Coturnix japonica: one gene and its partner. Each later gene encodes a partner of the first gene's protein in a complex. Links are inferred from orthologs where the notes say so. Each region holds a gene or a part of one and is shown on either strand. Other genes may lie near its edges.

What was found. Proteins that work in one complex are often made in the same cells at the same time.
Region 2: the proteins of PLXNB1 (region 1) and SEMA4D are in contact, whole or in part, in a crystal structure (PDB 3OL2), measured with the Homo sapiens proteins. The link is inferred for Coturnix japonica from reciprocal best matches to the Homo sapiens genes PLXNB1 and SEMA4D. Residues at the interface, in NP_001123554.1 of Homo sapiens: Leu80, Pro81, Pro82, Glu87, Arg136, Pro137, Gly138, Asp139, Thr140, Tyr142, Gly178, Glu202, Lys205, Ala207, Gly209, Arg210, Ser212, Glu213, Arg235, Arg242, Asp359, Val360, Asn361, Ser362, Leu367, Pro368, Thr371, Tyr375, Ser379, Asp380; in NP_001358123.1 of Homo sapiens: Glu99, Lys100, Gly101, Phe158, Tyr179, Phe181, Leu182, Gly183, Ser184, Arg198, Tyr201, Ile203, Glu208, Val240, Leu264, Arg265, Thr266, Leu267, Gln268, Lys270, Thr347, Gln350, Ser351, His352, Thr353, Asp388, Gln392, Lys395.

What each region holds. Positions count from the first base shown.
Region 1 is NC_029527.1:8,806,237-8,811,772, reverse strand, and holds the start of PLXNB1 (plexin-B1), read right to left. Parts: upstream 3,415-5,536; 5' UTR 3,382-3,414; intron 3,169-3,381; exon of another isoform or gene 3,117-3,168; intron 1-3,116. UniProt on the Homo sapiens protein: Receptor for SEMA4D. Plays a role in GABAergic synapse development. Mediates SEMA4A- and SEMA4D-dependent inhibitory synapse development. Plays a role in RHOA activation and subsequent changes of the actin cytoskeleton.
Region 2 is NC_029547.1:38,971,677-38,976,417, reverse strand, and holds part of SEMA4D (semaphorin-4D), read left to right. Parts: intron 1-825; coding exon 826-977; intron 978-2,687; coding exon 2,688-2,863; intron 2,864-2,969; coding exon 2,970-3,126; intron 3,127-3,660; coding exon 3,661-3,883; intron 3,884-4,741. UniProt on the Homo sapiens protein: Cell surface receptor for PLXNB1 and PLXNB2 that plays an important role in cell-cell signaling. Regulates GABAergic synapse development. Promotes the development of inhibitory synapses in a PLXNB1-dependent manner.

The DNA of each region.
Region 1 (5,536 bases):
ACAAGTGCATCTCTGATATCCCAGCTCCTGGAGCTGTGGGCATCCCTGTTCATTGCAGAGATTACTGATGGCCTTTAAGAATCCTTTCCAACTCCAATGATTCTGATACCAAGAGCACACATCCTGCAGGAGCAGAGCACAGACCTGCACCCTCCAGCTCTTTGTGTGACCCAACACAGTGCAGCAACATCACCAACACAAAGTGCAATACAGCTCAGGACAGGAGAGCTATGGGAAGTGTTCAAAACAAAAATCATTTGGGACACACACATGTGTAGAAACCTTAAGCTGAACACACTTCTGCTAACACTGTAATTTGCAGAAAGATTACAGTGGGGAAAGACGTCAAATACACCCACTCTATTTATAGAGCTAAATGTAATTTGGCCAGAAAGCTCGTTCCAGCAGCACAGACAGATGCCTAAACACAACCAGCCCCCCCCGCAGTGCCAGGCACAGCCTTCCTCTGCCTCCCTGAAGCACAGAGCCCAGCAAGCAGCGTCCTGCTGCAACAGCTTCACCCTGAGTCATGACACCTACAGCCCCCCAGCAAGGACAAAAGACCTCAGACATGAGATGAATGGGAACAGACACAAGGAGCAAGATAAAACGGTACCATCTGCTTTAGGAAACAAGCACCATTTTCTAACAGAGGTCTGCTATGGGGCAGGGGGTGGGTTTGAAAGCAGAAGCTCTGGTGCAGAGCTGAGGCTGCAGGAGCTCAGCCCACCCACTCCGCGCCATTCCAAAGTTAAACTTCAAAGCCAAAAGCAATGTGAGACTCACCCACTTGCCAGGCACAGGAGAAGCACTCTTTGCAGCGCTCGCAGTGTTTATACTGCAAGCAAACAAGTAAAGTTCACGTGCAATTAAAGTCTGGCATCTGGGAATTTCCTTCGGATCTGAACCATTTGAAGATTCACCTCCTATTTTCAACCAACTTCGAAAACCTTCCTATCAGATCCTGCCTACACAAAGCCCAGCTGCACTTCGCTCTCCCCTCCTTTTCTTTTCTGAGGGGGGTGGCATAAGAGGTTAGAAAGTTGTATCCTCGCTTTAAAAGCGATTCTGAATCGAAACGACTTTACCTTCCACCAAATGGGAGGCAAAAATAAAATCCACCTAAGCTGGCACCATCTGTTCCTTTCCCTTTTTTTCCACAAGCATCGGGAGGCAGCGTCAGCTTGGAGTTAATGACATGGAGACCTAAATTGCTTCCTGTAACCTCAAAAATCACTCTGATCTCAGTTAATCTTGGCTAAAAAATATATATATAAATTATTAGCAGCGAAAACAAGTCCTTACTTCAGCAGCTCTTCCAGAGATCACAGCAAACCCCTGTGCTTCTCCTGGCAGTGGCAGCACGTGTCGGCACAGGTCGGTGCATCCTCAGCAATACTGCAGTGCCAGTGCCCGCAGCCCATGCTATGGGGCAGGGGGATGGCTGCACAGCACCAATGCCATGCCTGTATGGCTCTGGGGAGAGCCCAGGAAGCACATGCCTGTGCTCTCTAAGGATTCCCTGCCAGCACTGAGGGTAAACAGGACAACATTCAGATAAAGAGCAACACAAACCTCCTGCAAAGAGACCACCACAGCCACCAGGTCAGAGATGACTGAGATGTCAGGATAAGGAAAACGATACCAGCACAGTGAGAGCCAGCTGGCACGTTCCCACCGAGGCAGAAGCAGCTCCCCCATGGCTTTGACGAGCAGCAAAAGATGAATCTATTCAGTAATTCTGCAATAGGTAACGAAGGAGCCACAGATGGATGAGCATCAAACACAAGGCTACACCAAAGAGCAACAGGAAGGCTCCAGCTCTGCTCCCATTGCGCCCAGGTGCATGAGGGAGGAGGAGAAGCTGAAGTCCTTCTGGTTTGCTCTGAGAAGCAAGAAGGACTGGGGCTGCCTCACCTCCTTCTGAACGTCCCCTCAGCAGGTGACCCTGCAGCACAAAGCATGCCGTGCCCATACCCAGCACTGCTCCGGGTGCAGCATCAGTTCCTTTCCTGTTGCACAGAGCCAGGCTTCACCCCTGGGTAGGCACCTCTGCTGGCAGCCCCATCCCACAGCACGGACCCTCTCTGGTGCATTGGGTCCCATCACGGCACTCAGAGGACCCTCCTCACCCCGGCACAAAGCAGAGGGAACAGCTCAGCCACTGACAGTCTGCGCCCCACCTTTCTCGAGAGAGTTATGCTGGTCATTTTAATCTGATTAAATATTGTTAATCGTATTACTAACCTAACTCTTTTCACATGTTGGAAGACCTTTAAAGACAAAATTCCATAGGTGGCCCTGCGATCTGTGAGCTTTATGGCCCGACCGCAGCCAAGCCCAGCCCCTGCCCTGCAGATCCCAGCTCTGCCAGACATCCCAGGCTCCAAACCGACCCATCAGCACTTGTACCACTCCGAGCTCCGTCGGTGGGAACACCCATTCCTCGCAGAACACAGGACAGTGCTCCAACCTCCTCCTGACCCACAGCAACACCTCCAGCCCCAGCTCGGCTGCCGACCTCAAGCACACAGGGACATCATTAACGCAGCACTCGCTGACTCCTCTATTTCATACACAAAGCGCATCACGGCAGCCTCCATTCAAACGGCGACTCCCGAACCGAACACACCGCGATCAGCGCCGTACCGGGCAACACCGAGCGCAGGAAGTTCCGACGGGAAGAGCTCCGATGGCACCGGCACAACGGGCTCCTGGTGCGGGGCTGGGGGAAGGAGAGGGCACAGCCCCAGCGTGGAGCACACGGCCTGCCCGTACCGGAGCTGCCCGTCACGGAGCCACCTCCTGCCGCGTGCCACCGGTACCGGAGAAGTCAGCAAAGCGGGTCTAACCGCGGAGCGAGCCGGGCACGGTCCGGCGGTCCCAGGAGCGGTGCCGGAGACTTCAGCGCTCCAGCCGCCCCAGCACCTATCGGGCCCGGGCCATCCGCGCCCCTTTCGGTCCTTCCAGCCGCTACGATGCCGGCTCCGACCCTCCGAGCGGCACGGCCCAGTCCCGCTCCCACCTTTCCCACCGGGACCGCCCCGCTACCTCCCCCCGCCGCGGGACTCCGCTACCGGAGCTCCCCACCCCCCTCCCACCGCACCGGGACGCACGTTTCGCCGCCGGGCGCGGTGCTGGTCCCGGGGTGGGATTCGCCGCTGAACGGACGGCCCCGGGCGGCCCCACCGCGCTCCGCTCCCCGCGGGGCCGCGCCCATCCCCCACGCGGAGACAAAGCGCTGCCCCGGGGCCGCACCTGCCGCCGCCCCCCGGCCCCGCCTCGTCAGCATCCCCCCGCCCCGGGCCCGTTCACACCCAGTACCGGCGGTGCCCCCCCCCCACCGCGACCCCCGCGGTCCGCGCCGCCCCTCACCCTCACCTGCCGCCCCGCTCCGCTCCGCTCCCCGCCGCTCCGCTCCGCCCGCACCGAGCCGCGCAGCGCCGGCCCCGCCCCCACCCAATCGCAGCCCGCCGCACGCCGAGGCCGCGCCCCCCTCCCGTCCCGCGGGGTCCGAGCGGAGGCCGGGACGCCCCCCCAACACCGCCGACAGCAACAAGCCGCCATTGGCTGCCGGCAGCAGGGGGTCGGGCCGGGTCTGCACCGGGAGCGGGGCGGAGGAGCCGCGGGTCAGCTTTGTGTCGGTCCCGGCTGCACGGAGCACGGCCCCGCAGCTGCAGGTGGCCGCGGTGCCGGCACTGCCCCGCTCTGCGTTTGGGAAACCGGGATCGGAACAAAAGCGCCGTTATCTGCAGCCCCGGGGACGGCGGCACAGAAGCGAAACGTGGCACGAGCCGAACGCGGTTCGCACACGGGGACGGACGGACGGAACAAAGCTCCGTCGGTAGATGCTCCGCACGGCATCGCCGTTAATGCTCCCGTGTTTGTGTCTACACCGTGACCACCGTGCTGCCGGCTGGGACACGCTGCAGGTGGACGGAGCGCGGTGACAAAGACCTGATGGAGCTGATGCGGGCAGATGTGCGGAAAGGCCACACAAAGGACGGGCTGCATCCAGGGAGGAGGAATTGGAACAGAATAAGCCGCTCGCCCATCGCTGCCGGTTGTTTGCTGGGGGAATTGCTCCGCTGGAGGCACAAAGCTGCTCTCTGAAGGGCCGGGCACGCTTCCCTCCCACGTGCATTGCTGACATTTCAGAGGATCGCTGTTGGTACGGTCCCTATGTCCCGCAGTGTCACTGAACATCCGCTCTTTGTTACGCTGTGTCGCCCATCTCCTGCTCCCACCCCAACAAGTGCTGCTTTCCGAGGGAGAAATGATGGCCATGGGCACAGGGACGGGGTGGGACCCACATAGGAAGGACTTTGTAGGGACACCCAGCATCACCGCTCCTCACCCAGGCCGAGGAACCCACCCTACTGCCCCACTCCCACCTCTGTATGGCTGCAGGGTTAGGGCTCATTCACCCAACTCGTCACCAACCCGACGAATCAGACATTCGACCTTCCACCAAAATCCAGCTTTGGTGACTAAGAGCGTAACAAAAACACGTCTATTTTCCCTTTGCTCCAAGCCATTCCTGACTCAAGGCACTAATCCCCTGCCTGCCTTTCCTCCAGAGCCAGTCCCGACCTGCAGCCCCTTCAATCTGCCTTAACAAAAAAAAAAGCCCTAAGACATGCACTGAAAAGCTTTACTTATAAAGCAGCAAACCAACCCAACCCAACCCAACCCATCGCAGCTGGGAGAGCACGCTGCAAAAGGAAGCCGTGCTGGGGGGCTGCACCCCCCTGCAGTCAGGGCGCATCCCAGGCGGTGCAGGGGGACGCGCTCCCTCTGCAGGAAGGAGCTTTGCACAGCGATCCTGCTCCCAGAACGACCATCAGAGCCGGTTTTCGGGCAGGGCACGGCTGAAAACGGCACTAATTTGTCCATTCAGCAGCTTCTGATTCCCACTTCTACAGTTGTTTTTCTTTTATCCATTCAAATCCATACAGGATCCTCCCCTCTGGAAGCCCCTGCTCGCAGCTGCCTCTAAGCAGGTTATCTGAGTTTTCTTATGTAACAGTTGTGGTAATCACAAGACCAGCAGCTGCTTATACCCCTTTTGATTTCCTTCTTGCTCTTCCTCCCCTCCGAGCAGGGGATGAAACTGGTTCAGGAATCACGAGTGAGTCCTGTCTATCGCTCCTGGCCATGAGCTGCATCTACAGCAGCGATCCAGGGGCGGGCAGAAGGTTGGTTTATTGCTCCTCAGTACCACACAGAAGGAAGTATTTGTTTTTAGAAGGTTTTCTATGCAAGAAAACATCTTTGCCAAACATAGCTACAACCAGATCAACAGGAACACCTGCAGCTTCCAATCAGGATGTCGGAACATTCAAACCATGACTGATAAACAGACACGTACTGACGGTGATACCACATACAGTCGCCTTTGTTTTGCATTCATAAGCAGTGTTTGATATTCCTTTCCCCTGTGGAATAAATGGCAAGTTCTCTTCAGAAAGCACCTACTGTTACAAGGCAGCAGTGACCTCATGCCATGTATTTTCCATAGCCACTAGCTAGGCTG
Region 2 (4,741 bases), on another chromosome or scaffold:
AAGGCAGCATGTTGGTAAAAAAACAACAAAAACAAAACAAACAAACAAAAAAAACCCAAAAACAAAAAAAACCCCAGCATCCAAGAAGGACAGGATTCTGAATTTGTAGTACATCCTGTTATTATTGTTGTATTTGTTATTTTAGTTAGCAGCAGAAAGACTAAGTGGCTGGTACTATGTACATGTAGTTGAAGTTGTTTTTACAAGATGAAGTTAGCCTAAATCTTATATGTGATTTAATGCATGAGGAATGAAGGACAACAGTGAGAGTATGCATGTTTAAAAACCAGTGGGGTTTGGGAGAGTGGTTAGTAGTTTTAGATTTGTTACAGTTTTTCTGTGGCACTGTGTGGTTTTCCTATGTGTCCAGCCACATAGGAAAACTGGTAGCTGACCAGCCCTGGCAAATTATTGCTTGTATGTTTTAGCTAATTCTATCCTTAAATATGAATGAACAGAAATAAACAATGTGGCTTTTCTTAAGTTTGCATCAGGAGGGAGAGGTGGGCAGTGGAGGATAGATCCAGACCTATCAGAAAACCCATGTTTGAATGTAGGTGTAAAATGAGCAGTAATGAGATACAATAGATAAAGAAGTATTAGAGATCTTTAAGGTATGGTATGTTAAATAGCTGGGTTTTTTTCCTCCACTGTTGTACTGTTTTAGAAGTGTTATCATGGGCTCAACAGTGTAGGCAGATCAGTAACTGAAGAACAGATAAATGCATTGTGAAGTTTGGGAGAAGAAAATTCCTAGAAAGTGTTCAAGAAAATAAAGTTAAAAGAGTTGTTTATAAAGTAGAACTATTCTCTTTGTATTTGTAGAGCCAAATTTTGTTTTTGCTGATGTGGTAAGAGCAGATCAAAACAGCACAGATGGAGAAGATGACAAGATATACTTCTTTTTCACCGAGGTGTCTGTGGAATATGAATTTGTTGGAAAACTTATGATTCCAAGAATAGCTAGAGTGTGCAAGGTGGGACATGGTTCAATCGCCTTTTACTAATTACAGTAGATTTTGTTTTTAGTGGAAAAAAAAATTACATTTATTGTAAATTAAATGGAAATGGTTTAACTTCATTTCACTGAAACAGCAGTTTTAACCAGTTTGTCATAACTGACAATGTGTCTTTCTTGCTTTAGAAACTAATACTTGACTTAATTTAATTAACAGTGAAATTTCAGTATGTGTGAGGGTTCTGTCCTCTCCTGGGAGGTGTTGGAGAATAACAATGGTTAAAAAAAAAAAAAAAAAAAAAAAAGACTCTTGATTCTGTTTTATTTTTTAAACTGAAAATGTAATTATGGTCCCAGAGGGGGGGGGGGGGGATGAAAAAAAAGAAAAAAGGCTTAAGTTGCTGTTGAGCAGATAGGAAGTGTGTCATATTCAAGTTATTCTCAGGCAGAAGCATGTAAGGAAGATCATTTTATCATTTTTTCTGTAGTCACAGCTACTTACAGCAGATGGGACTTCTGTGGTGCTGCCAGAGCCACAAACAAGCAGTCTGCCGCACTTAGTGTGATTAAACCTTAATTATTTTGGTTCAATCAAGTAGTATTGGTTAAAAATCTTGCTAATGGAAGAAGATATTTTTCAAGTACAAAATATCCTTTCCGTTGGAGTGTTATCACCTAGCCATTTCATTTTGATTAAGTTGAAATGTTTTATTCTAACTTTTCTATATTTAAATATGGAAGTTGAGATATCAATAACAAGTTAGTGCCTTTGAAATTTCTATTAAATAATCTGCTGGAGGTAGCTTTACATGGGACTTAATATTATAGCCCTCTGCCCACATACAGCTTGTGCGCTTTTCAGAACAGGAGTATCACAGAACATGAGAGATGTATTGCTTCTGCTTGATAATAAAAGGAATCAATGGCAGATTGCAGTTCGAAAGGAATTTTTACTTAATTTTTACTTAGATCTACTTAAACTTTCAGTTTTTCTTCAGTTCTTTACATGAAAGCTCTGGATAATGAACAAAAACTATTAACAGTGCCCAAATATGCCTGTTTTTGTAAAGAAATAACAGAGCTAGAACTCATAAACTAAATTTTTTGAAGCATTTCTAGTCTGGTAAAAGATATCTTTCAGTACTACAGATCCTTCGTAAACATCATAACTGCCCACAGGAATAGGCCAATGGTGCATTTTTTTTCCTAGTGGAATTGTTAATGTCAGGCATCTTAAGTGTATATTTCAAAATTACAGTAGAAATCATTTGTGTTTGGATGTCAAAGAACAAATGAGCTGTTGCTGATTTATGTTAAAGGATGTGTATAGTGCCTCCATGTTTATTTTAATTGTTACAGTAGGCATTTGTGTTTTATAAAGTTACATTACTGATCTCTATTTTTCAAGTACTGAAGAACAGTTCTTTTAGAAGTCCAGTGTCTCATCTTATTTCTAGATGTTTACAAAAACCATTCTGCGTTATTTCTGTTGACTCCAATAAGTAAATTATTAACTTCTGTGTCTCCCTTACTTTTATGTATATGAGCATATTTGCAGTTTTTAATGTTGCTGTAGATGAAATGTTGAAGAAGTATAGTAATTAGAGGAGTTCAAATACAGTTAGCAAATAGAAGAAAAAAGTAGTTTGGTAGCTTTGTAGCTGTGGTTCTTAAGTACAAAACTGCTGCCTTCATAGACACTTATCTTTTTTTTCCCCAATGCCAAAAGAGGGACCAAGGAGGACTGAGGACTTTGCAAAAAAAATGGACTTCTTTTCTCAAGGCCAGATTGATATGCACCATTCCAGACAGGAATTTAATTTTCAATATTATCAATGATGTTTTTATTCTGAAGTCTCCAACCCTGAAGGAACCAGTGATATATGGAGTCTTTACCCCACAGCTGTAAGTGTGCTATTACAGTATTTCCCTGGATGAGTAGTTTTGATCTCAGCTGTTTGTTAAATCAAGTAATTACTCCTGTGATTTTTTTTTCCCCCTATATTTTTAGGAATAATGTGGGACTGTCAGCCGTTTGTGCCTACAATTTGTCTGCTGTAGAAGAAGTTTTCTCAAAAGGGAAGTATATGCAGAGTGCTACAGTAGAACAGTCCCATACTAAGTGGGTACGGTACAATGGGGAGATTCCTAACCCTCGACCTGGTGCAGTAAGTTTCTGTAATTTTGGGTATGATGCTCAGGAGTAAAGAAACTAGAAAAGCAAACAAACAAACAAACAAACAAAACCAAACAATAAAAACACAAAAAGCCCTACTAATGCGTACTATTAGATTGCTGTGATCTGGATGCTTTGTATTGTAAAGATTTGCTGAAAAACACTTCAAGTGATTTATTTTAAAGCTTGTATCTGTTGTTTGTTTGTTTTGTTTTGTTTGTTTGTTTGTTTGTTTAATTTACCATACAGTTAATTGTAGTGTTTGTGTTTTCCTTATTTCAATACTAAATTAATGTATTTTCCTATAATATATTTTGGGTCCAAATAAAAATGAAATATGAACCATTTGCTTAGAGATCAGCATATTACAGAAGCCAAGGTGCTGCGATACTTGAGTGCCTTCTAGGCTTGGATGAGTATAATGTATAGTTATGTCTTTATGTGCCGAAGAAAATGCATGTACCTGCTGCTAGGATATAATTTGCTTTTCTCTATATGATTTCTTTCTTTTGTTTTTAAATAATAGTGTATAAACAGTGAAGCCAGAGCCTTGAACTACATGACTTCTCTGAACTTACCAGACAAAACATTGCAGTTTGTTAAAGACCATCCACTAATGGATGATTCAGTAACTCCAGTGGGAGACAGACCCCGCCTTGTAAAACGAGATGTGAAATATACCCAGATTGTAGTAGACAGAGTCAGAGCACTCAATGGTACAATATATGATGTTATGTTCATCAGTACAGGTAAGTTCTGCATAACATTCTTTTTAATAATGGTACTTATTCTTCAGGCAATGTGCTCTAATGGAAACTCAAAATATTTACAGTATTTTTGCAGCATGTGATATTTTCATAGAAAAACAGGGAGCCACAATATGTACATGGAGAACCTTGCTTGCTTTGAGGGGCTTTTGCAGGAGGAGATCAGAAAAAAAAACCAAAACCCTTAATCAACAACATTGACAGTGTACCCTTCAGCAAATTTGCTGATGACACCAAGCCGAGTGAGGCAGTTGACACAATAGAAGTGGAGGGATGCCATCTACAGGTACCTGAGTAGGCTTGGAAAGTGGGCAGATGAGAATCTAATGAGGTTTAACAGAGCCAAATGCAAGATACTGCAATTGGGTCGAGGCAGTCCCAGGTATGTGTGCAGACTGGGAAAACTCATGGAAAGCATCCCTGCAGAGAAGAACTTGGGGATCTGTTGCAGTGTGTTCTTGCAGCCTGGAAGGCCAATAGTATCCCAGGTTGCATTGAAAGAGGGGTGGCCAGTGGGTTGAGAGTTGAGGATGGTTGCCTCTCTCTACTGTGCCCTCCTGAGGTCCCATTTATAGTACAGTGCCCAAGTAAGGGGGCCCCAGTACAGGGAAGATGTGAAACTATATCAGCAGGTCCAGAGAAGGGCCATGAAGATGCTTAAAGGGCTGGAGCACTTCTCCTATGAAGAAAAGTTGAGGAAGTTGAGCTTGTACTAAAAGGGAGCTTACAAGCAGGAGGGTGACCAACTTTTTGCATGATCTAAAAGTGATAGGATGAGGAGGATAGGATTTGAACTCAAAAGGGGGAGATTGTATGTCAGATGTTACTCAGAAATCTTTT